6 linked regions of the Nothobranchius furzeri genome follow. Each later gene encodes a partner of the first gene's protein in a complex. Links are inferred from orthologs where the notes say so. Each region holds a gene or a part of one and is shown on either strand. Other genes may lie near its edges.

Region 1 (3,686 bases):
GTCATTCTCTTGTCAAATTCCCAACAGAAAAATAAAGAACTTTACCTCCTTTTGTGTTTTCTGTGGTTCTGACCCAGCTCTTCTTGAGCTCCTGTTCCAGGTGAGTGGGACACGTTTGTCCAGAACGTCCCACAGATCTGTAGTCAAGCTGGTTTTTTAGGTTGATTAAAGACTAAAGGGTTCCAGAAAAGGATCACAGAAGCAAAAACTAGAAATATTCCGGTGGAAAAGGTAAATAAACACCGGATATGTTAGTTTAACTTTAAGACTTCGTTTAGGTTTAGTTTCTAACTGGCTTGTATTAGAAGAAATAATTGGAGGACATTTGAAGTAGAACAGATTGTTGGTGCACAGCGCCCTCTGGTGGTGGTGTTCAGGTGCACAGCGCCCTCTGGTGGTGAGAGGCTCTCGACAGGAAGAGGGAATTTCAAACTAATTATTTTTTTTACCTTTTCATGAATCAGAATTTTTTTGTGTGTCAACCAGATTAAAGACCAACACAAAGTTAGCTATTTTATTACATATTAAACTCGTCAAACGCTGAGCTGTTGGAGCGTCTCTCAGGTAGACGGGGGCGCCGCCCGGCGGACCGCTTTGGTCAAGACCTTTTGGATAACCGGGTAAAGTTTGTAGCATCCTTCGATGCAGGTCCGAACCCCCGCAGTCAGGGTCTCCTCAGACATCTCACCGTCGGACTGCAGCCCAGAAATCTGGTTCAGACTGGGCAGGAAGGCCACTGTGAGCCCGCCCCGGCTCTCGCTGCTGTTACACCTCCAGCCGTTCTCCTCCAGGTAGGACGGGTCGACCACGTAGGAGCTCCCAACCTGCTGGAGGGAACATCCGAGCACCAAGTCGTACATCTCAATCCCCGCATCCGCGAGCGCGAGGGAGGCACAGGTGACGGCGTGGGCCAGGGCTGAGCCGCTGTTCTCCAGAACCATCACGCTGACGTCGATCTGAGAGCGCGGGTATCTCTGGAGGCACACGGCCGGCTGCAGGCTCTCGTGCAGCATCAGAGACAGGTCCTTGTCCTGGCTGCCCTGGATCCACGGGACCCTCTCTGGGCAGGAAAAAGGGGCGAAACGCACATCAGTGGTCAGCCTGGAAGCAGAAACGCACATAGGATCATTTTCCCAAACAAAACCATCCCAAACATTACAATCCGATGAAAATAATCTTCTGTTTTCAGGTTAAGTAAAGGAAAATGATCGAGTCGCTTGGAAAACTGATAAAAACAAATTCCTGTTGGTTGAGCTAATTTGCTTTATTGGGTTAAAATTTGATTTAAAAAAAAGTTAGATAAATCTCTTCAAGTCTACAATCATTTCGCCTTGCTGCCACCGGAGGGCGCGATATCTGATGAGTTAAGTGCTGTAGCTAGCTGCTGATGCTCCCTGCTTTAGCTTGTTGATTTAATCCTGTTTAACTCATAGATGTATTAAGTTTTAAGAGTTACGTAGTTTGTATATGTGCACACGCTCTGACTTTCTCGTTATCTACACTAATTGTGCTGTTGGCACCAATTAAAAAACTTAAAAGTGGTTTGTTTTATTTTGAGGGGTTAGTCTCGTGGAAGCTGTAACTGCTTTTGTCCGCCAGAGGGCGGAAAAGTCCATATTCTCGGAAGCCTGCTACTAAAAGACTGAATTATCTTGTTTATATCCAGTTGACCTAAATAATTCAAATAACTAACTAATCTGACATGTTTGATTGTAAATTGCCTGGTCTGGGAACACCTTTGGCTCTCCTAGGCTGAGTTAAGAGTGTCACTGGGAAGGAGTTCACCTACATCACCTGGCCTAGGGTAAGTTAAGGATTCAAATCTCCCTCTAGCCGCCAGAACATTTGCTCTTTCTACCAATGGGAAGGTTTGATGATCACAAAAAACACTCGAACTTCACTTTCGAACACATGAACAATCAGGCTGAACCTGTCGAGCAGAAAACGTGATTGTGATAAAGCAGCGTACCTCCCACTTTTCATATCGGTCTCGTCTTTCCGATCGGTTTCTCGGGGTCCGTAAACGCAGCTGATCAGCTTCGTGTTTCCAGCTTCGATGTAAGCGGAACCTTTAGCTTGACTCACCAGGCCGCAGCGGACGAAGACCGGCCGGACGTCAACTTGGTCCCGCTGCCGACCGTCTTCTCGGGGCCCACGCGAGGCTAGAACCGCAGCGGGTTTGTACCCGAGCAGCACGGGGCTCTGAGAAACGTCCGGACCACGAACCCGCTTCGTATCTGTCGGCATGGTGCATGCGGAAGTGGATCGCTCATAAATGTGTCCCCAAAGAACTACAACGGGAGTGGAAAAGTTCCCTCAAATTTTAGTTCCTACTGTGTTCCGGAAAAGTTCCCTCAAATTTTAGTTCCTACTGTGTTCCGGAAAAGTTCCCTCAAATTTTAGTTCCTACTGTGTTCCGCAATGTTTCATCAGCTTTTTTTTTCTTATGTAGTTTAAAGCGATGCAACAAACTGTTGTTGTATTTTAAAAGTATTTAAGTCACACACTATACCAGTCAATAATGTTATAGTTACCTTGCAGTTTATTAAAGCCCAGAAATGTATTAAAATTTCAAAATAAAATTCTGATTAATAAATGACTCTATTCACTTTGGATTCATGTTATTAAAAAGGACAATGTTGGACAAAGTTCTTAATAGTAAATACATAAGAGATTTACATACCGTCTAACAACAGGATTGGCTGCATAGTGTTTACTGTTAGCCTCAAGGGTAACCTGCTGGCTTGATTTTCACCTGTAAGTCGCTTTGGACAAAAGCGTCTGCTAAATACATAAACATAAAAATAATTCAGTCACACTTGAGACATATTTTCTATGACTAAATATTGATATTTATATTTTTTATTTAAGATCTTTTCATCAGAAGACACGGTATCGTTGTATAATTATTACTTCATTTAATAAATTCAAATATATGTAAAAGTAAAAAATGGTGTAGGTTTAATTATTTCTTTGCTAACACTTCATTTGTGGTAATGACAGGTGTTAGCCAGAAGAGGGCGACAGTTACCCAGCAACCAAAGATTAAAAACCTGCAAGACAATTCACTGCTTTGTAATGTTGAATTTGCTGGATGTACCGCAACAACCATACTATGTATATATAAACATATATGTATTTATATACATACATATGGCTATAACTAACAAATCCAAAATGTCCTTCTCATTGGTTTTAAATAACTTTATTTTCAAACTTACACAATTCTGACACGTATTAAGTTTTAGTGAGGCGGCCAAAGACATTTTTACCTGTAGAAAGTCGTTCATACACAGCAGCGTTAACTCATTATTTTACTACGTTGCATTTAAAAAACGCTATGTAATAAATTAGTGCGAATGTCTAAATTAAAGGCAAATTGAATCATAGATGTGCCTTGCGCACATACTTGCGCAGCGCAAAACGTCAACACAAAAAATATTAAAGTTCGGAAAACCATCAAAAGACTGTGTTGAATGTTTTCCTCATTTATTGAGGCTAAACATTATAACCATCACATGTTTTACACGTTAGTAAAAGAAAAAGACTGTTGGCACCTGCGTCTTTTTCATTGCATCAGCCAGAGCAGTAAAAGATTGTACCTGATGTGGCGGGCTTGGTCAAGACTGACAGTGATGTTATCCAATAGGATTGGACGCTTGATGACGTACATCTGTGTCTGGACC
Region 2 (4,122 bases), on another chromosome or scaffold:
CATTCAGTCCTACTAGAGACTACTGCAGATGTACTGATTCAATGAGTGTTCAACACCTTTTAAATGTCCTTATGCGTGTGAGGGTTGTTTCTGGGCGCTCTTGGTTCCCAAAGAAATTTATATTGCCAAACTTTATTCACAGGAGCAAAATTTTAAAAGTTTCCCTTATTTCTTTGATTCCACCCATCCATTTTCATCTGCTTATCGAGGGTCGGGTCGTGGGGGCAGCAGCCTAAGCAGGGAGGCCCAGACTTCCCTCTCCCCAGCCGCTTGGGTCAGCTCCTCCGGGGGAATACAAAGGTGTTCCCTGGTCAGCTGAGAGACACAGTCCCTCCAGTGGGTCTTCCTTTAGGTCTTCTTCTGGTTGGACGTGCCCAGAAAACCTCACCAGGGGGGCGTCCTAACTAGATGCCCGAGCCACCTCAACTGGCTCCTCTTGATGTGGAGGAGCAGCGTGTCTACTCCAAACCCCTCCTGGATGACCAAGCCTATCTTTAAGGGAGAGCCCAGCCACCCTGCAGAGAAAAATTTCGGCTGCTTGCATCCGCAATCTCATTCTTTCAGTCTCTACCCAAAGGTCGTGACCATAGGTGTGAGTTGGAACGTAGATCAACCAGGAAATCAACAGATCGGTACAACACCCACGTTACTGCAGACGCAGCACCAATCCGCCTGTCGATCTTGTGCCCCATCTTCTCCTCACGTGTGAACAAGACCCCGAGATACATTAACTCCTCCACTTGGGGCAGAACCTCATCCCTGACCTGGACAAGTTCTTCTACCATTTTCCGACTCAAGACCATGGTGTCGGATTTAGAGGAGCTGATTCTCATCCCGACTCCTTCACACTGTGCTGTGAACCGCTCCAGTGAGAGCTGGAGATTACGTTCTGATGAAGCCAACAACAGGACAACGTCATCTGCAAAAGCAAAGACTTTCTTAGCTTTTAAAAATAATTTCATATTTATGTTAAATCGTTAACAGTTATGAAAGAACAAAAGCTCAGAAACTATATTCCTTTTCAATAAATATTATCTTGTCAGCAAGATAAATAACTGATAAACCTTTAGTTTTTTTACCCTTTATGTGATTCTCTTGATGTTTGTGGTCTTTATTTGATACTTCAGCCATGTTTGTTTGTTCACACACTTAAATGAATGTTCTTTATATGTGCTTCATCTTTAATAAAGTAAAAACAAGTTTTCCCTTACAAACCAAAAACATAAAGGTTGGCGACACCCCGCGGAGAGTGTGAGTACAAATCGGAGCGCTTCGTTTTCTCGCACATGAGCACTGGAGCCTTCCTTCGCCCTTTTCCGGTCTCCACAGCCGGACCAATCAGAATCGACTCCAGACGACGTCCCAACCAATGAGCTCGCAAGCTACTCTTGTCGAAAACATGTCGCCCATGAAGTTGTGTGTTCCAGGTGAGTCCGCTGATTTAATGTTCCATACAAGGCACTGCGTAGATTTAGAACCGTGTTTTGGTCACGTACCAATTCCAGCTCGTGTAGACGTCGATGTGTCACTAAAGTATGCATTTAAACTTCAGTCAGAGGGCTTTAAAGTTGCCCCAACTGCTACACGCGTGGAATTAGCACATATTTATCATTCGTTCACACACCCAAAAGAAATCCGCTAACCAGCTTTAGTACTAAATTGTGTTTATGCTACATCAAAACAAAACGATCACTCACTAGACTATGCAGGATTAGCAGTTTGCCATGTTGATAAAACGAAATGAAAGGCAACTAAATCACAAACTCACATTAAAAATGAGAGGGTTTGACTAAAGTCACAAACAGTGGTTGTGCTCTTCAGGTGTGTTCATGTCTGTGATGTTAACACTGTTCGTTTGTTATTTTACTGTAGCGTTTTCTGACCCTTGTTGTCTGTTTGCACTCAGGTGACAAGCTTTGCAGTGAGGGAGACTGTAATCCAGGCGCAGGAGTATATCTGCGGCATGGCTACATTTACTCCTCACTCGCAGGCTTTGTGCTCAAGACAACCGAAGGCGAGAAGGTGAGGATCATAATGTAATACATATACTTAAAGAGCAAGTCACCCCAAATCAACTTTATTTTGTCTGATAAACTATATAAACGTGTATCTAATCGTGCTGCAGACCCGTGTTGTCAATAGTTTTGCACTTAAGTGCATTTTAGTTAAAATTTTAATTTTCTGCCTAAAACTGTCAGTGTTGTGCCATGGTCAGGTAAAAACTCTGCGCTGCATTTGAGTTTAAATCTGCCATCGGTATTGGCTAAAGCCTGATTCATGCTTCTCCGTCTGCGTCAGTGTGGAGACACGCAACGTCCTTGCGGGCCTGCCGGAGAGCTCCGCAAGGACGGACGGAGTCGAGCTCTCTTTTCTAAACATCCGTCAGTCGAGACGGACAACGCAAGCTTGTGATTGGTCAGGACGCCGCTGTTGTCTACAGCGCCGCCATTGCGCCCGCAAAAACATAAAGAGAGCCGAGGATAACAAGCGGCAGACACGGAGAAGCTTGAAGAATACCTCGCGAAAAACCTCTAAAATATGAACGTTTAATTCCCCGTGACTGGAGGAGTGAAAAGATGCGCAGCAAGCATTTTATTTGTGGACAGAAATGACAGGAAACCTGGGTTTAAGGTGGCGAGCGCATGAAGAAGACAATGAAAAAACATAATATAAACGCACTATCTTGGACCGATAAATGACAGGATACCACAGAACAGCGCTACGCCCTCTGTTGTCCTGCCGGGGAATTGCTTTGCAACACTCCAGGGGACGGAGAAGTATGAGAGCAAAACGCTTCCATCAATCCATGCGTGTCTGTCCCTTGCGGAGCTGACGGAGAAGCATGACCCAGGCTTAAGAGGTACCCTAGAACGTTAGTTGGTACCATATGATGTCACAATGCTGTGTGTGTGTGTGTTAGTGGCTCCGCCCTCTCGGTCTGCCAGGCAACAGCATTTGTTGCATTTTTCACACATGAAGTGGGAGTGGAGTACAACTCTGGTAGGGGGTGACTTGCTCTTTAAGTTTCAATGTTTAAAACTGATTCCAGGGAGCAAAATTGTGTCACATTTGATAAAATAAACAAAATAAATGCAGTTAGCCTCATTTCATCTGTAACTCGACTACTCTGCCTAAATTAGGTGAAATAAGAAAATCCAGCTAATGAATTACGACTTGGACAGAATGTGACTGAATTCATAATTTTAGGCAGTTTTTCTTGCACTCTGAAGCTTTTCTGTGTTTTTAAGCTTAATTCTTTAATGTTGAGATGAGCAGTGAAGCTCACACCCGTGATGATACAACTCTTTCTACATATTTTCTTAAACACTGCTTGGTCTCTATCCATTTGTACTAATTTATATAAATGAAATTCTTAATGTGATGGACAATGTTTAATTCCATTTAGGTGATTGTGGTATTTGGACTAGAGTTAATAGCTGTTGTATACAGTAGCTTTGTAGTGGACCAAAAATGATATAGTGCCTTCTAGGGTTCTACAACCCCTCCAAGGCATCACCCATGCACACACGCATTCACTTGCTGGTGGTAATGAGCTACAGTGTAGCTACAGCTTCCCAATGGTGCGCTGAAAAAGGTGAGGCCTTCCATACACTGGCACCACCATTCCCTCTGACCACCACCACCAGCAGGCAAGGTGGGTTAAGTGTCTTGCCCAAGGACACACCAGCAGAATTCTGTGCAGGGATCGATCCTACAACCCTTCGATCACTGGACTACCCGCTTTACTTCCTGAGCTACTGCTGAAGATTTAAATGTACTTATTACTGACTTTTGTACTCATGAATGCATTTGTGTGTTTTTAGTTACCAGTGATCTCAGTGGTGAGAGAAACAGAAGCTCAACTACTTCCAGATGTAGGAGCCATTGTCACCTGTAAGGTATGTTATGGAAACAGTTTTCTAAAATGAGATTAAAGACGTCTCTGATTAAAGGGGCATTATGGAAGTGTGACAGCCAAAACATGTATAGAAATAATAAATGTCTTCTTCATACATTCTCCTGCAATGCCCTGGTCCTGTAGAATGAGCCCTGGCATTTTTACTGTGATTGCCTGTTTTTCTGTAAAATCACAGAAAAAGAGAGATGCTCGGGTCGAGCAGG
Region 3 (2,883 bases), on another chromosome or scaffold:
CTGTCCAAATCCGTCATTATTTTAACCATAAATGATCTGCACTTATGTGACGCCAGAGGACTCCACAACGCATTTCACTAGGCAAGGCAGCTTTATTTATATTGCACATTTCATACACAGAGGCAATTCAATGTGCTACTGGCATTCATTTAACGAAAGATATCTGTTGTGTCTGCAAACCTAAACAGAAACAAATTAACAGTATGTCTCTGCTGCTTTTCAATAGGAAGGAGTTCGCCCGACGATGCCAGTATGGTTCCATGGTGTAATGGTTAGCACTCTGGACTCTGAATCCAGCGATCCGAGTTCAAATCTCGGTGGAACCTGATTATTTTTAACGTAAATTGGTTTGTTTTTTTTATCACTCCACCATCACATCTACACGGTGAATTTTTGTCTAAGCGTGAATCTCGTGTGTTATCGTGAACCTGACTCATGACTTATTTAAGTTTCTTATGAGTGACATATGATGGACAAACTTTTGATTCGCGCAACAATGATTCTAGAAATGTAAAAAATAAATTTATTTGAATCAGTTTTAAGCCTTTTTCGATATCATATTATTGTAGTATTTTCTCTGTTTCGGTTTCAAGCTGCGGTCATTTCTTCTGGCGTTTCTTGGATGCTGCTGCCCCCTTCTGGTCAGATCTGGACCCAGAATTCCTGAAGAAGAAAAAAATCAGAAACCGGTGAGATTAGTTTAATTTATCAACCTCCTCGGCTTCATATCAAACAAATAGATGTTACTTTGATTTCTCTGTCGTCTCTGGATAAAGTATGACCACCTCCTCTTCCTCACTGTCTGAAATCTCCACCACAGCTGCTGTAAGACAAAACACATTAAAGTTCAATTATAATTTTTTTTCTTCTTCCATGACTTTTAGTTATGAAAACAAATAACCTTCTTTCTTGTCTTTTTCTGACAGTTTTATCTGTGTCACTTCTTCCACTTGGTCATCTCCACTGCTCTCCTCCTCCTCATCATCATCATCTTCTTCTTCCTCCTCCAGTCCCCAGCTCTGCAGACCCTGACCCACCTGACCAACACCTGGCACCGGCACCACTGGGGATGGGACTCTGGTATGGGTGTGTGGTTAGGGAGACTAACTGTCAGAAACAAAAACAAATGCCGTTCCTTTTTTGTCCTTTCATTTCAGTTCAGGATACGTTGGGGGCGGGGCTTCATCTCCCTGGAGGATCACCCCACTTCCTGTTTGGCTCACGTTGGTCATCTCTACATCGGTCTGGTCCATTTTCAGAGCTGTGATCCGATCCTGAGGCATGGACTCGGCAAAGCCACATTTACCACCTGCCTTCCTGGAACGTTTCAAACACATCATTCAAATGTAGCCTCTAAAGGGAATTGTGGGTAATGTAGTAATAAATAGGAGACAGCCACTCACCTGGCAGCCTTGTCATTTAACAAGGCTTGACTGATGAGTTCAGTGATTTCAGACACTTTGACGCTGGCTATTTTACTGCATCTCATAACCTACAACAACACAGAGCAAAAACATGCTGATGGATTCAACTAGGAATTAAATTATTAAACAAAGTCTTTTTTCAAAGAATTCCTTCTAAATATACTTCAGACTGACACGTGGGAGTCACAAGAAGAAGAAGAAGAAGAAAATATCATTTCTATAGCACCTCTCAAGATAAAAATCACAAGGCGCTTCACAAAAACAAAAATGTTAAAATATAAAAAACAATTTAGAAAATGGTTAAAAATATATTTAAAATGAGCAAAAAATAGACAATTGTGATCAAAAAAATGTTAAGAAAGAGAGAGTGAATAGGAAAGAGGGAAATCAGTGGATCCTGAGGAAGGTGGAATAGGTGGGGAGAGCAGAATAAAGAGAGAGAGGTGAAGAAGGTCATACAAAAGCCAGCTTGAACAAGTGAGTCTTCAGCTGCTTTTTAAAGGAGACCACTGAGTCCACTGATCTCAGGCTCAGGGTGAGAGAGGTCCAGAGTCTGGGGGCGACAGCAGCAGATGATCTGTCACCTTTGGTCTTTGGCCTGGTGCTGCACAACCAGTAGGCTTTGATCACTGGACCTCAGGGACCTGCTGGGGGTGTAGGGACTAAGAAGATCACCAATGTAAGATGGTGCTTGTCCATGTAAGGCCCTATAGACCAGAACCAGGATCTTGAAATGAACCCTGAAGTTGACTGGCAGCCAGTGAAGCTGGAGGAGAAGCGGGGTGATGTGGGTGTGTTTGGAGGACTTGGTCAGAAGCCGAGCACAGGCGTTCTGAACCACCTGTAGACGGTTCAGGGAGGTTCTGCTCAGACACGTGAAAAGAGAGTTACAGTAGTCTAAGCGTGAGGAGATGAAGGAGTGGAGAACCGTCTCAAGTTCAGAGCGGGACAGAATGGGACTCAGCTTAGCAACGTTCCTGAGATGGAAGAAGGAAGAGCCAACAAGAGAACTGACATGAGAATCCAGGGTGAGAGCTGGGTCAAAGGTCACGCCAAGATTCCTGACGGAGGGTTTGGTGTGGGAAGCAAGCTGACCAAGAGAGTCTCTGACTTTGGGAACCAGCTTGTCTGGGGCACAGATGAGGATCTCAGTCTTATCTTCATTCAGCTGAAGAAAGCTCCCACCATCCAGGTTTTGATAGAGTCTAAGCAGGTGTGTAACAGCTGCAGCTTAGACATCTCATGGGGCTTAAAGGAGATGTACAGTTGGATGTCATCTGTGTAAAGATGGTAGGAGATTCCTTTGAAGGAGCTCAGGATGTGCTGAAGAGGAAGCAGACAGAGGAGGAAGAGCAGAGGCCCCAGCACAGAACCTTGTGGGACACCATGGGTAAGGGAGGTGGTGGAGGACCTAAACTTGGAGACTGCCACAGAAAAGGAGCCCTCAGAGAGATAAGAG
Region 4 (4,179 bases), on another chromosome or scaffold:
TTTAAGACTTGTTGGATTTGATCTGTCAGGTTCCCTCCAGGCACCAAATTCACCTGCCTGAGACTGCAGCTACATCATTCCATCATCTCAGCTTTGAATTCCACTGGAATGATCCTTAGAACTAAAATCCACTGTTGGATGTTTAAACACAAGTTCTAAAGATCAAACACATGTCTCCACAGTGATGGCTCCTACCTGTCATGAAACTTTTAACCAATAAGTCACCCTGTTCCAAACAGAAATAAAGCTTATTTCCACCAAAGTTATAAACAAGTTAATGAATAAAATGAGTAAAATATGATGAGGGGGAAGCCTACAGCCCCCCCTTCTGGAGCTTCCTGAACTGTTCCCGTCTCTGCGGTGCTGTCAGGGTGTCACAGCTCTGCAGGAGATTGGAGATGATCAGAGTCTGCTGGATGGTGGATGCTCGGACCCAAATCCGACCGTTCATTCCCACCACCAGCTCACAGGGGAACAGCTGTTCCAGGTCAGACCGGATGTCACTTTGGGGGGCCAGCAGCCTGTTAGGGAGGGAGAAACGAGAGCACGACCAGAGCTGTTACCATGTCAGAACTCAATGTTGGGTCTTTGTAACAGATTAACTTTGTCCTGTTGATAATCACTCACAGATACATGCAGGAGTTAAGAGGCTCTTGTTCTGATTTAGAACAGCTGCAAGACACTCACAGAAGCTGTTCTGTCAGAGGATTCTTTATTACCCAACACTGGACTTATGAGTCAGAATAGGCCACTCCCTCTGGCACATATGGTTCAATTAAAAATGGAACTAAAGACAAACTGACCCAGTTCTCAGACAATGACCTCTGCTTCAGTTTCAGACAAATTCTCTTTAAATAACCTGGGTCTTGTTCCAGAACCATCAGGACTAAATATGTGGTTCTGTGAGAACTTCACACCTTTGCAAGTAAATTGATGTCTGTAGATGAAACCCAACTGTAACAGAACCCGGCCTTTGACCCAGTCCTGATACTCATCCAGAAGCTCCTGCTGGTTCAGAGTTTGTCAGTCAGAGAATGAAAATGTTGGGTAATGTTACCTTCTAACGAGGCCCAGAGAGACTTTGAGGAGCAGACCACCTCCTCCGAAAACACCCATCCCGTTGGCCCGGCCCGATCCGTCGATACACACCAGCTCTGGTTCCATGTCTTTATTGGCTACAGTGAACTGAGCGAACACCAGGTCTCCAACCTGCACAGGGAACACACAGAGGGCAATACATAAGCTGATCTGGTCCAATAAGGACAGGGCACCAAAGTACTGATAGTCCAGAGGGACCCAAAAGGTCCTGAGCCATCAGACATGCAGCATTCAAACACACCATGTAGGCACAAATCAGTCAGGTGAGAAAATGAGTCTCAAAAGGATTTTTGCACTTGTAAACTGATCTGTGTGTAATGTAGTTTTGTCCGTGTGTACTAAGTGATTTGTGTGTGTGTGTTTATTTAATGATCTGTATGTGTAGGAACTGAAGTTACACACGAAAATGTAAACAAGTTACAAATCAAGAGTTATACATGCTTAGATCTATCTACACACACACACATCTAGATACACACACACATCAAGATACACACAGACACAGATTTTTTTGAGACTTTTTTTCTTCCCATAAGACACCCAGCATGACTAAACGATCAGGTGTACTTCCTGTTGGTCCCGACACGTTCCATACTGGGTCAGCGTAAAAACAATACATCAGAACTCTTCTTTCAATCCTCTACAGTGATCATATGTGTGTCTGTGTGTTGCATGCTTGTGATTTTGGGGTCACAAGGGACACAGAACTCCTAAAAACAGCTGACGGGTCCCCCAAATCTGGACTCTAAACATGACTCACTTGTTTCAAGTAGAAAAAAACTGTCCCCTGAGTCTCACCTGGACATTGGGTCTGTTCCTCTTTGTAGCTCCTTCAAAGGCCAGATAGGACAAAGATGCCTGCTCACTGCCTCCAACGTCCACCTTAAAGATGTCCCCAGACTTGGATGTCACAATACCAATGACCGTCTCTGCTTTGGCTGGGACATACTGAGGACAGAAGTTTCAGGTGGTGAGTGGATAGAACATGCTGCTTGTGCCAACGTGACCAGTTTACCTTTCCATAATCGTTACCGGATGAAACAGTATAAAACACCACTGCAACATAAACCTAACTTCACCCTAGTTTAGTTTTGTAGAAAGTTTCAAACTTTGACTTCCTTCAGACTTCCGGTACATTAACTTTTTAATTTTATATACGATCACAACAAAGTGTATAGAACAATAAAAATAACCATTAACAAGGAAACGAATATTCAACAGATTTGAATATGAAATAGATAATAAATGATAAACTTTAGGGTATAAAAAAGTTAACACATCGCAAATGTATGGATAGGGGGACAAATAACTAGAAACACATGTAATTTCCGCCGGGTTTTTCATCAGTGAGAACTCTGAACCTTGTCTATTAGCTCTCACGGTTCTGTTCTGACAGGTTCGGCCGCGAGTCCAGTCTGGACCGGTCGGTACCCACCCTCCACTGCTGTGAGTCCATCCAAAACGTGTGCGGTGGTTTGTGCCTCAACACGCCGCTCTTGCTCACCACCAGCCGGTTTCCGCTCTGCCGCAGCCCCGGTCCACACACCGGCCGCTCTGGCTTCACATTGTCTGTTAGAAAAATTGTGTCCTCAGACTCGAAGACAAATTCATCTCCAGGTAAAAGAACTTCACCGATTTTCTCCTTCAGACTTGAAAACATACCGCTAGCTAGAAGAAGTCTGGACCTCTTGGTTCTGTTCTGGTTCCGACTCAGAGCGCCCCCTGCTGCTCAGGAGGAGATAGACCTCCGGCTCAGCTCGCTCCCTGCTGCTCAAGAAGAGAACTAGACCAAACTCTTGCTTTGCAATAAAAAATATAAATAATATATTTATTTAGTCTGGCTAATTTCTGAATACTGAAGGAGATCCTTCTGGAGCTTTGCCGTGATTTGGGACCCTTTATGGAGCGGCAGACAAACCGCATGAATCTGATTCCAGTCCACACTGAATCTTTTAAAACTATAGAAGCGACTGACCCCAGAACCTCCTCAGCGTTTTTATCAGTAAGGGCATGTCTAAGTGGGCTATTGACACAAAATTTGCTCCAGATGTTGCTATAAACCCATATATGGAATTCACACAAAGAAATCAGGAAGTACAAGGTGAGTTATAATAAATAAAGTGAAATGACAGGGAACCGGTCACTCTGAATTTTTCATGCAGGCTGAACATGAAAACAGTCTTCTACACCTATCTCCTGCATTAGCTTCTGATAGAAAATAGACTGTGAAATGCTAGGATTTGAAAATCCTCACATATCTATGTCACAGTGTGAACTGGCCGAGCCTATCTTTGCTCGTGCATGCACAGGATGGCTTTTTTAACTTTTTTACAGTGAGGAGAGAGAACGGAGAGTGTCTTGGTGATAGTCACTTTGTAACATGGCTGAACATGTTCTGTTAGCCAGTCAGAAGAGAGGTGCGTGTCAGTGGCGTGTCCAGATCTTTTAAAATGGGGTGGCCTAGGTGATGCACTACTTTGTGCATGGGTGGCACCAATGGTTATGCTTTTTTACATTTTTTTTACCCCAAGCCTTTTGTGGACAATGAAAAGCCTATTTAAAGGGAATTCAGTGTGGTGGCACCTGGGGTGGCCAATCAGATTCCAAGGGTGGCATTTGCTACCCCAGGCTACTCCCTGGACACGCCCCTGGTGCGTGCATATTTTTAATAATATGAGTATTCCTGCTGTTTTCAGCCCACCTCAATGATTAAAAAGTTGGACATGTCTCCTTCACCCTCCATCCAGAAAGCAGCTAAGTGTTATCTTAGATGTTTCCATGTTGTTAACTAGGTACTTTTAGGATTTAAAAAGTCAAGAAGGGGGTCTGAATAGCTGTTAGAAATAGCAACAAAGTTGCTAAGTGGGCAACACTGTGGGGGTGAACACTTGATTTGCAACTCGGAGCAGTGCAAGAGGAAGGAGCAAATAATCGGCTTGTTTTGTTTTCATAATCGTTCAAAACTTAAGTCATAATTGGGAATAAAATTTGATTAAATGTGCAGCCCTAGTAGAGATTTAAGAACAGGGAGTGATGTGTCATGTTTTGAGGGATGTGTCTAACCCAAGACATGCAGAATCA
Region 5 (4,151 bases), on another chromosome or scaffold:
CTTCCAGCATTCCTTCAACTAGTTCTTGCCCAGTTCCATTATCAGAAGTAGCGCATCTAGCGGGGGCTCATAGAGAGCGGTATGTTAACTAGCTTACCAACGTTAGCTTACGTTCTCTCTGCAGCTGTTCACCGATGTAAACATGTTGCTGACTTTGCCTAAATCCACCCCTCTGGATTTATAACTTTATGTTGTAAACAGCGTTTCACTTCACACCAAAGCAGATTTTTAAAAAGTCTGGATCTCTACCAGCTCCTGTTGCTGGTGGTGTTACCGGGTTCAGCTGCTGCTCTCACATCGGAATGAGATCTCTGAACGCTGAAGCTCATATAAATAAATAAATAACGTAATTTTAACACATGTAATCATACATCGGAGCTTTAATATTGTTAATAATTGTCTCGCTTTATACAACAGTGGACGGCGCGCGTCATCCGGGGTGAAATACCCATCCATCAGGATTATCAATAACTTGTATGAACACATCACCTTTATCCCTGTCCCTGTCTTCCTCGTGAAATAAATGAACATTAATCTTACCCGGTAAAAACATGTTCGCTGCAAATCTGAGGGCTACTTCGCTTAATTGATCACTGCAGTTTGTCTCCGTCCTCAGTCTCCCATCAAATTTATTAAAAAGAAAAAACGAGTTGAGTTTATGTCCTTGTCTCTTAGTGCAGCCGACCATGCAGCAGGCTAAAACCATTTTACTGTCAAATCAACTAAATAAAAGCGATAAAAGGCTACAAACTGGCTTGTTTTGACCAGCTTCACTGGGGATTCTACAGGTGTAAATGGTATTTTTGCCGTCCGTCATGGCGAAGGGGGCGGTCACATGAGTGGCGTGAGGTCACGTGCAAAGGGTCAATACCCAATACTTTAACAGTCTCAAGTTGCTTTTCTCTCTAAGGCTGCCCCGTTCCTCCAGGAGGAATTCTTAGAGCATTACATGTCTGGATGTGTTAAATAGATTATGTTTAATAAGTATTTCTTCACAAACAGAGGTGAGAAGTCAGGTCAGAGGGTCAAATTTTCATTCCTTAGGAAGCTTTTCCTTCTCTTGACATAAAAATACTTTGTGCCTTTAGGTAAATTCATGTAGTTTATCATTTATGATGTCTTAAAATACTAGATCATGTCTCACAAAACTGACCTTTAATAGACCCAGCAAGGTTTCTCAAACAAATCACTTATTATGTTGAACTGCTTTACTCACACTTTAACGCTCACACACATCTATCAAAATCAAGTCAATAAAGTTTATGAACAACTTCTCTTGACTGGTTCTGAATGTACCTCCAAACTGGTGTAGAAGCCCCCAGCTTCCTCATCCTGTTGTCCCAGCGTGGGATACAACCACACAAAGCCATTATTACCAAGGATTATAGATGCACCACATGGAAGATTGTGGAAATGTGTTTTCTGCCTCTTGATCAGAGAAGGAGAAATCTGGACCAGCACTCCTTGACCCAACTGACAGTCAAAAAGAATTGAAATAAGATTGAGATTAAAATTATTATTATTATTATTATTATTACTACAGATTATTTTCCCACAAAAGAAGCTTTTTATAATTAGGAACGTGTTAGTGTAAAAATTAGTGGGATTACTCAGTGTCACTGTGTGCTATAACTTACTTTTCCATATTTTAAACTACGAGTGTGAAGTGAGAGTGCTCCATCTGAAAAAACAGACTGCACTTCTGCCTAAAAAACAAACAAAAGTTCAAACCCAGTCAGGAATAAAAAAAAACTGGTAGTAAAAGTTGGTCATTTTGAATCAAATGTGTCTTACACTGATTAGATCGCCTTCCTGGATGTATTTTCTCATGGTGAGCTCGTCTTCTGCAGATCTTCGTCTCTAAAAGGCAAAATCAATCAGTTTAGCAAAAGTAAAAACAAAAATCTCAACCAAAACATATGAAGCTACGTTCTACTATCTCACCAGTTCTCCTCCAGGCAGATTGACAGATGACAATAAGAGGACCGAATCTAGTCTGGAGTTGGTATCCACCTTCCACCGCTTCTGTTGAACCTGAATTTGAAAACATCCCCATTCTGAAAACTCTTGATGAAAGTACTACATCTTTTTACTGTTTTTAGATCACAAAAACATTTGTTCACCTCCGTGATCCTGCCAACAACCACATCTCCAACCTCACCGTTAAATCTGTAATTCACATCAGAGTTATAGGACTGCATTTAGATAAAAGCAGGACACATAGCAAGTGAAAGCAGTGCAGAGGTAAATGATGTTTCATGGCTCTTAAATTAATGGCGTACCTGGTCTTTAGAGGTCTGACGCAGATTAGTTTGTCAACTCTTTGCACCTTTCCTGCAACTGAAGCCGTTAGTTTATCATCGTCGACATATGTTCCATGACCCCTGTGAGAAAACGAGGTAAAGTAATGGTTACCAGGCCTTTACTCCCAGGCTTCACAGTAGAACCAGTACCCACCTCATGAAACCTGTGTCTGAGGTGATAACATCGCCGGGAACTACCAAATCTTTCCGGTATACAGCGGGAGCCGACAAAGTCATTGTTTTTTTAACAGTCGGTAATCTCATGTCCACTGCCATGCTTGTTTCTTCTTACTTTTCCCGCTCGCGACAGAGTCCACAGGGCTTTACTTCTATGTGCACACTTAGAATAGTGAAGAAAATTTAAGAAAGGGTTTCCTCCCCAAAGTTAACAGTCGTTTAAAAACCAACTGGCTCAACAAGCTACAAAAATGGACAACAATATAACTATAACAGACCATGCATGTCTGTGATGCTAGGTAGCACACTCTCCTACTTCTGCTCTGTTACGTAGTTTGTGAGACCAGCTAACGCCCCCTACTGGTACGGAGTAAAAGCGACAGAAATTGATGTTTTGTTACTGCTCTCTTTCCGCCAAATAAAGATCAATGCAGTACTACTGACTCAGCCAGGTTCAGATTAACAAACAACTCAATAATAGCTAAATCATTCCACTTCTGTGATCATAAGATTCATCACAGTTTTACTGGTGGAATCTTATAAGCCCGCTTTAATTGTTAATTCAGGGCTTTTATTTCTTCTTTATCAATTTCACTTCCCTCAGTTTTTGTTTACTTTGCAGAATTTGTGATTTTATTAGGCAAGGTAAAAACATATTCCAGAAAAATATACAAAAACAGGATAATTAGGGTTGGACTTTTTAAATAAATTCAAATTTGTTTTCATGAAAGTTTGTACAAAAATATATAGCCTAGAAAACCATCAGATTGCACCCAGCCTTTACTTTGATTCATCCCCTGGAGCATGCATAGGTCAGACAACAGTGATGAGGAGGATTTCACACTTGGATGCAGACTCCTGGGGGTTGTTTCCTTTCTAGAGCTTTCTTAAGTTAGCTCAACAATACAGCCAAACATCAATTTTTTTCTTTTCATGTTTACAGATGTATGCCATTTAAATTAATACATTCTCAGCTCAATCCAGTATTTTTTCAACTGTAATTAATGTTTTGATGAGTTCTTAAAATATCTATAATCCCAATGCCATCCCTATAAGTTTATTGTGGACTCTTAAAAATACATATATATAGTATAATGCAAGATTATTTTTGCTTCAGCAATTGACGGTCTAGATTCTAGGCTAGGTCAGAATCTTTTTTATTGTTTTGCTCTCAAATTAATTTTTTCAAACACCCCAACCCAGACTTATCTCTGCAAATAGCTTTGTTTTATGGAACTCAAAAGTATTCAAAATTCAATAAATAAATAAGACATTATGAAATAAATGTCTACATGAAGAAATACTAGACAATCATGTAATCTGACAATGAAATGATGAAATAACAGAATGTTATGTAAAATCTAAGTTCAATATTATGAAATATTTTTCATTCTTCTTTTAAAATGGCAGGTCACACCCACTGGTTTGACTGACGGACTGAGACATTCTGCTGTAAAGTCTCATTATGAAATAAATCAGCCATGGGAAAAAACACTATTAAAAAGAAGTTATGTAATAAAAACTGAATGAATTAAATTAAAATGGCTCAATGATCATTTGGTTTATTATGAAAAAAATGACTTTAGAAATAAAACTTTATATTAATAAAGATATTTTAAAAGAAGAAGGATTTCCTATTTCCACCTTCAGAATATTGCTTAGATTAGAAGC
Region 6 (3,966 bases), on another chromosome or scaffold:
AACTAAGTTATTTTCTACAGGGCTGCCAACTTGTGATGGTTTCCATGCACGAGGAGGTGTGTGAAAGGGGTCAGACACGTGTCTCACGCTCAATGGGAAGCTAAGTCACACCCATCTATTTCCGACCATGGGTCCCCAACAGGGCTGGACTGGGACAAAAAATCAGCCAGTTCGTTTTGAGCCGAGACCGGCCCACCAGCTAGTGAAGTTAAAAAGCAATGACGCCTATTTTTTACACCACCTCTCTAACCCTGGGCCTCGATATTCCATATCCATCATGTTTTACTTGTTTCCCTGCTCCAGCACAAAAACTGAGCTTATTTTGCTGCTTAACCCTTTGGTGCATAACGGTCACTACAGTGGACAGTTACTCAAAATTGTTATTTATTTATTTTTGCTATTAAGCACAGCTGTTGAAGACTTTATTGCATATGAGCCCTTCCATTTGGACTTCAGTAAGTCAAGCCACCATATTTCATGTTCAGAATGCACATTGTCCACTGAGATGGACATGTAATAAAGTATTTGTAAATTAACAAAATGGTACAAAAAATATTTGTTGAAATTTGTTTCATTCACACCTAAAGATGAATGAAAAAAATAGTTTAAAAAATCATGGTTGAAGATTTCATAATTCATGCATCAGAGGGTTAATGCAACAAAACATCAACAGACCAAGACAATCTTCAGATATCTAACTGCTCGTTTGAGGTTGAGTAAAGAAAACAGTAAAGCAGAAAATAATCAGAAAACCGAGTTGCCATGCATGCACTGCTCACACACACACACACACACACACACACACACACACACACACACACACACACACACACACACACACACACACACACACACACACACGCACGCACGCACGCACGCACACACACACACACACACACCAACATCAAAACACATGACTTGTTTAACAGTTTAATTTTGTATTTTAAAAGAATGATCCAAACCATTCTAACTAAAAAGTTCAGTTTGAAGACATAAGAGAATCCACAATTTTGCTCTGGATTGTTCGGTTAGGAAAGAGGAGTTTGTAAGGAATATTTATTCACTGTCAATTGTTTAAACACTACAATATTGTTTGTTTAGCAAATTAATATATCGAGTTTTATTTAATCTTTATTAATTGTGACCGGTTATCAATTTGAAAGTTTTATTGACCTTACAACACCAACTCATTTTTGAAAAAGACGAATTTGTTGGCCAGTTTTTCGTTCATTTCCGAACTCCAGTCCAGTTGGTGGCGGTAATGCACACTTGTCGTTGGTAATCACAGTTTCGTCGCGGCCACCGTAGTTCACGTGGGTAATCAAAACATCATGGCGGCTGGTTTCAAGTAAGTCATTTTTAACATGTATTTTTCTTTATATTCAGACTTTGATTTTCATCAAATATATATCATCGATATATTTAATGTTCAGTGTTATATCTAAATTTAGTTTGCTTGTCAAAAAATACAGAAACAACATTTCTGTGACGTCAGTTGGGCTAGTGACGGGATAGTACACTTTATTTGTTAGATTTATCGGTCTGCTGTTTATTGCAGGATCGCACGTGTTTGTTACTAATTTGTCTTATTTAATTTCTTTAAACTTTCAGGACGGCGGAGCCTCTGGAGTATCACAGGAGCTTTTTGGTTCGTCAAATACATACAAACTATACCCAGTAGAAACCCATAAATGTTATTATTATTGTTATTAGTGTCATTGTAATTGCAAATGCTTCATTTGCAGAAAGAAAATTGTAGACCTGATGGGCGGGAGTTGTCTGAATTTAGAAGTACAACCTTAAACATTGGTAAGAAAATAAATTAAATGTTTCCTCCCTGTAATAAAACATAATTTTAGATATGATGTAAATAAAATAATATGTACTTCTAATACAAAATGAGTCGGCTCATATTTTTTCAACTCCAACATTTTCCAGTGCCTAAAGGGCTGATCACTGCCAGCTGTAACAGTTTTTACTTATTTTCTGTTCAGGGTCTATTTCCACTGCAGACGGCTCCGCTCTGGTAAAGCTGGGAAACACCACGATCATCTGTGGCATCAAAGCGGTACTGGTGCACAATGACTCAAACCGCTACTGCTAAGATTTCTTTAGGTGTTAAAGTCATGTGTTCATATGCAGGAGCTGACTAACCCTACTGTGGATGCACCTGGTAAAGGTTACATAGGTAAGTTCTGAACACATTTTACAGCCTCCTTGTTTCCATCAGGTTTTCATTGCTTAATTCTTTATCTCGTATTTTCTGTTTGATTCTGTATTTTATTATGACATCATCATCTGTCTATATATGTTTTAAAAAAGTGCCCAATGTAGACCTGCCACCCCTGTGTTCGTCCCGCTTCCGACCAGGCCCACCAGGGGAACAGGCCCAGGCTGCCAGCCAGTTCATCGCTGATATCATTGAGAGGTGTGTTAAGCCTTCAAACACCTTTAGTTTCCAGCTGTAGTGTTTCTGCCACTGCTTTGACTTAACCTTCATGTGTCGTGCAGCTCTGAGGTGATCAAGAAAGAAGACTTGTGCATTGGCCGAGGAAAGGTGATTTTAGACTCATGTGTGGACTTTATTTGTTGTAATATATTCAATCATAATTCTGCTAAATCTTGTTGCAGCTCTGCTGGGTCCTCTACTGTGACATCATGTGTCTCGACTATGACGGGAACATCCTAGATGCTTGTGTTGTCGCCCTTCTGGCTGCCCTGAAAACCAGTAAGTAGGGTTGAGACTTTACTGAAACGGTGCATGTAATAAATAAAATAAATCTATCTTTTAGTAATCTTTCCCTGCAGCACAACTCCCAGAAGTCACCATCAACAAAGAGACGTCCGCCCCGGAGGTGAATTTTGAAAAGAAACACAAACTTAACATTCACCGACATCCAGTCAGCGTCTCCTTTTGCATCTTTGATGAGTACGTTTGTTTGATTTCAATTCAATTTTTATTTTAGGTACAAGTGCCATTTTGTTCTTCTTTAAGCCTTTTTGGTTTTCCTGTGCAGCTCCATACTGATCGTAGACCCCACCGCCGAGGAGGAGAGCCTGTCGACGGCACGCCTCACTGTGGTGATGGATGAGGAAGATCAGCTGTGCTCCTTACATAAACCAGGTCAGAGATGGCACATCTGTGATCTTTAGATTTGTGGTGCTTCTGCCATGAAATAAAGCTTCAGATTATTTTGAGTATTTTGAGAAAACGGGGATAAAAGGCTCTGCAAACTTTGCCTCCAGGTGGAACGCCACTGTCGGGAGAGAAGCTGCAGGAGTGCATCAAAAGAGCAACGGCACGAAAGGGAGAGATCCACAAACTTATTGAGAAAGTCATAAAAAGCATGAAGACAGCTCAATAAATACACTCAGACAACATTTTTTATCTAAAAGTTGTATTTTCCACTGTCAATATATATTCTTTTTTAATAACAATAAAACTGCTGACAAAGACTTAAAAAAATTATCTTTTCAGTGTCCAGAAATGTCTCACGCACACTTAGCTGATGTCTTAATTCATGTAAGAATATGCTCATGGCTCCTTGTTAAAAGGTAACACCTTTTGAAAATCTGCTGTACAAACGCACGCCGTCTTGCATGATGACTCTGAGTCCTCGCGTGAGCCCTGCGCCGGAATACTCCCCAAGATCAGATTTGCATTTTCACGTCGTGGACACGTGGACGGCTTGGTGTTGCTAATCTGTGCTTAAAGGGCAGCCTCATGCGAAATTCTCTTTAAAATGTCCTCTCACTCCACAGGGCCTCGGCAGAGAAAAGTCTTCCGAAAGTAGAAATATGTAACCGTGGAAGCTCGTTACCTACAAGACCCGTCTTCTTCTTGATCATCTGAAAAAAAATATCACCAAGGCTCTTAGAGCTTCGGGCTTCCTGCTGTAGAAACCAGTTCCCCCACAGTGGACAAAGGTTTGGTTTTCAGAAAACATCTGAGAACCAAATCATAAA

The links.
Region 2: exosc6 (region 1) and exosc1 share a complex: the UniProt entries of both Homo sapiens proteins name them as parts of the RNA exosome core complex. The link is inferred for Nothobranchius furzeri from reciprocal best matches to the Homo sapiens genes EXOSC6 and EXOSC1.
Region 3: exosc6 (region 1) and exosc9 share a complex: the UniProt entries of both Homo sapiens proteins name them as parts of the RNA exosome core complex. The link is inferred for Nothobranchius furzeri from reciprocal best matches to the Homo sapiens genes EXOSC6 and EXOSC9.
Region 4: exosc6 (region 1) and exosc3 share a complex: the UniProt entries of both Homo sapiens proteins name them as parts of the RNA exosome core complex. The link is inferred for Nothobranchius furzeri from reciprocal best matches to the Homo sapiens genes EXOSC6 and EXOSC3.
Region 5: exosc6 (region 1) and exosc2 share a complex: the UniProt entries of both Homo sapiens proteins name them as parts of the RNA exosome core complex. The link is inferred for Nothobranchius furzeri from reciprocal best matches to the Homo sapiens genes EXOSC6 and EXOSC2.
Region 6: exosc6 (region 1) and exosc8 share a complex: the UniProt entries of both Homo sapiens proteins name them as parts of the RNA exosome core complex. The link is inferred for Nothobranchius furzeri from reciprocal best matches to the Homo sapiens genes EXOSC6 and EXOSC8.

The regions. Positions count from the first base shown.
Region 1 is NC_091744.1:81,855,721-81,859,406, reverse strand, and holds exosc6 (exosome complex component MTR3), read right to left. Parts: upstream 2,296-3,686; 5' UTR 2,248-2,295; coding exon 1,970-2,247; intron 1,102-1,969; coding exon 561-1,101; 3' UTR 501-560; downstream 1-500. UniProt on the Homo sapiens protein: Non-catalytic component of the RNA exosome complex which has 3'->5' exoribonuclease activity and participates in a multitude of cellular RNA processing and degradation events.
Region 2 is NC_091746.1:82,295,855-82,299,976, reverse strand, and holds the start of exosc1 (exosome complex component CSL4), read left to right. Parts: upstream 1-1,322; 5' UTR 1,323-1,369; coding exon 1,370-1,427; intron 1,428-1,906; coding exon 1,907-2,022; intron 2,023-3,824; coding exon 3,825-3,899; intron 3,900-4,122. UniProt on the Homo sapiens protein: Non-catalytic component of the RNA exosome complex which has 3'->5' exoribonuclease activity and participates in a multitude of cellular RNA processing and degradation events.
Region 3 is NC_091746.1:81,904,938-81,907,820, forward strand, and holds the end of exosc9 (exosome complex component RRP45), read right to left. Parts: intron 1,493-2,883; coding exon 1,404-1,492; intron 1,318-1,403; coding exon 1,168-1,317; intron 1,078-1,167; coding exon 902-1,077; intron 824-901; coding exon 748-823; intron 664-747; coding exon 600-663; 3' UTR 501-599; downstream 1-500. UniProt on the Homo sapiens protein: Non-catalytic component of the RNA exosome complex which has 3'->5' exoribonuclease activity and participates in a multitude of cellular RNA processing and degradation events.
Region 4 is NC_091741.1:64,434,426-64,438,604, reverse strand, and holds the start of exosc3 (exosome complex component RRP40), read right to left. Parts: upstream 2,801-4,179; 5' UTR 2,759-2,800; coding exon 2,534-2,758; intron 2,047-2,533; coding exon 1,897-2,046; intron 1,210-1,896; coding exon 1,058-1,209; intron 522-1,057; coding exon 314-521; 3' UTR 1-313. UniProt on the Homo sapiens protein: Non-catalytic component of the RNA exosome complex which has 3'->5' exoribonuclease activity and participates in a multitude of cellular RNA processing and degradation events.
Region 5 is NC_091746.1:53,646,581-53,650,731, reverse strand, and holds the start of exosc2 (exosome complex component RRP4), read right to left. Parts: upstream 2,801-4,151; 5' UTR 2,580-2,800; coding exon 2,458-2,579; intron 2,385-2,457; coding exon 2,283-2,384; intron 2,170-2,282; coding exon 2,124-2,169; intron 2,035-2,123; coding exon 1,945-2,034; intron 1,861-1,944; coding exon 1,795-1,860; intron 1,707-1,794; coding exon 1,638-1,706; intron 1,474-1,637; coding exon 1,297-1,473; intron 1-1,296. UniProt on the Homo sapiens protein: Non-catalytic component of the RNA exosome complex which has 3'->5' exoribonuclease activity and participates in a multitude of cellular RNA processing and degradation events.
Region 6 is NC_091750.1:62,637,289-62,641,254, forward strand, and holds exosc8 (exosome complex component RRP43), read left to right. Parts: upstream 1-1,266; 5' UTR 1,267-1,331; coding exon 1,332-1,348; intron 1,349-1,611; coding exon 1,612-1,648; intron 1,649-1,745; coding exon 1,746-1,809; intron 1,810-1,994; coding exon 1,995-2,068; intron 2,069-2,142; coding exon 2,143-2,188; intron 2,189-2,322; coding exon 2,323-2,428; intron 2,429-2,511; coding exon 2,512-2,557; intron 2,558-2,631; coding exon 2,632-2,728; intron 2,729-2,808; coding exon 2,809-2,929; intron 2,930-3,017; coding exon 3,018-3,124; intron 3,125-3,246; coding exon 3,247-3,365; 3' UTR 3,366-3,466; downstream 3,467-3,966. UniProt on the Homo sapiens protein: Non-catalytic component of the RNA exosome complex which has 3'->5' exoribonuclease activity and participates in a multitude of cellular RNA processing and degradation events.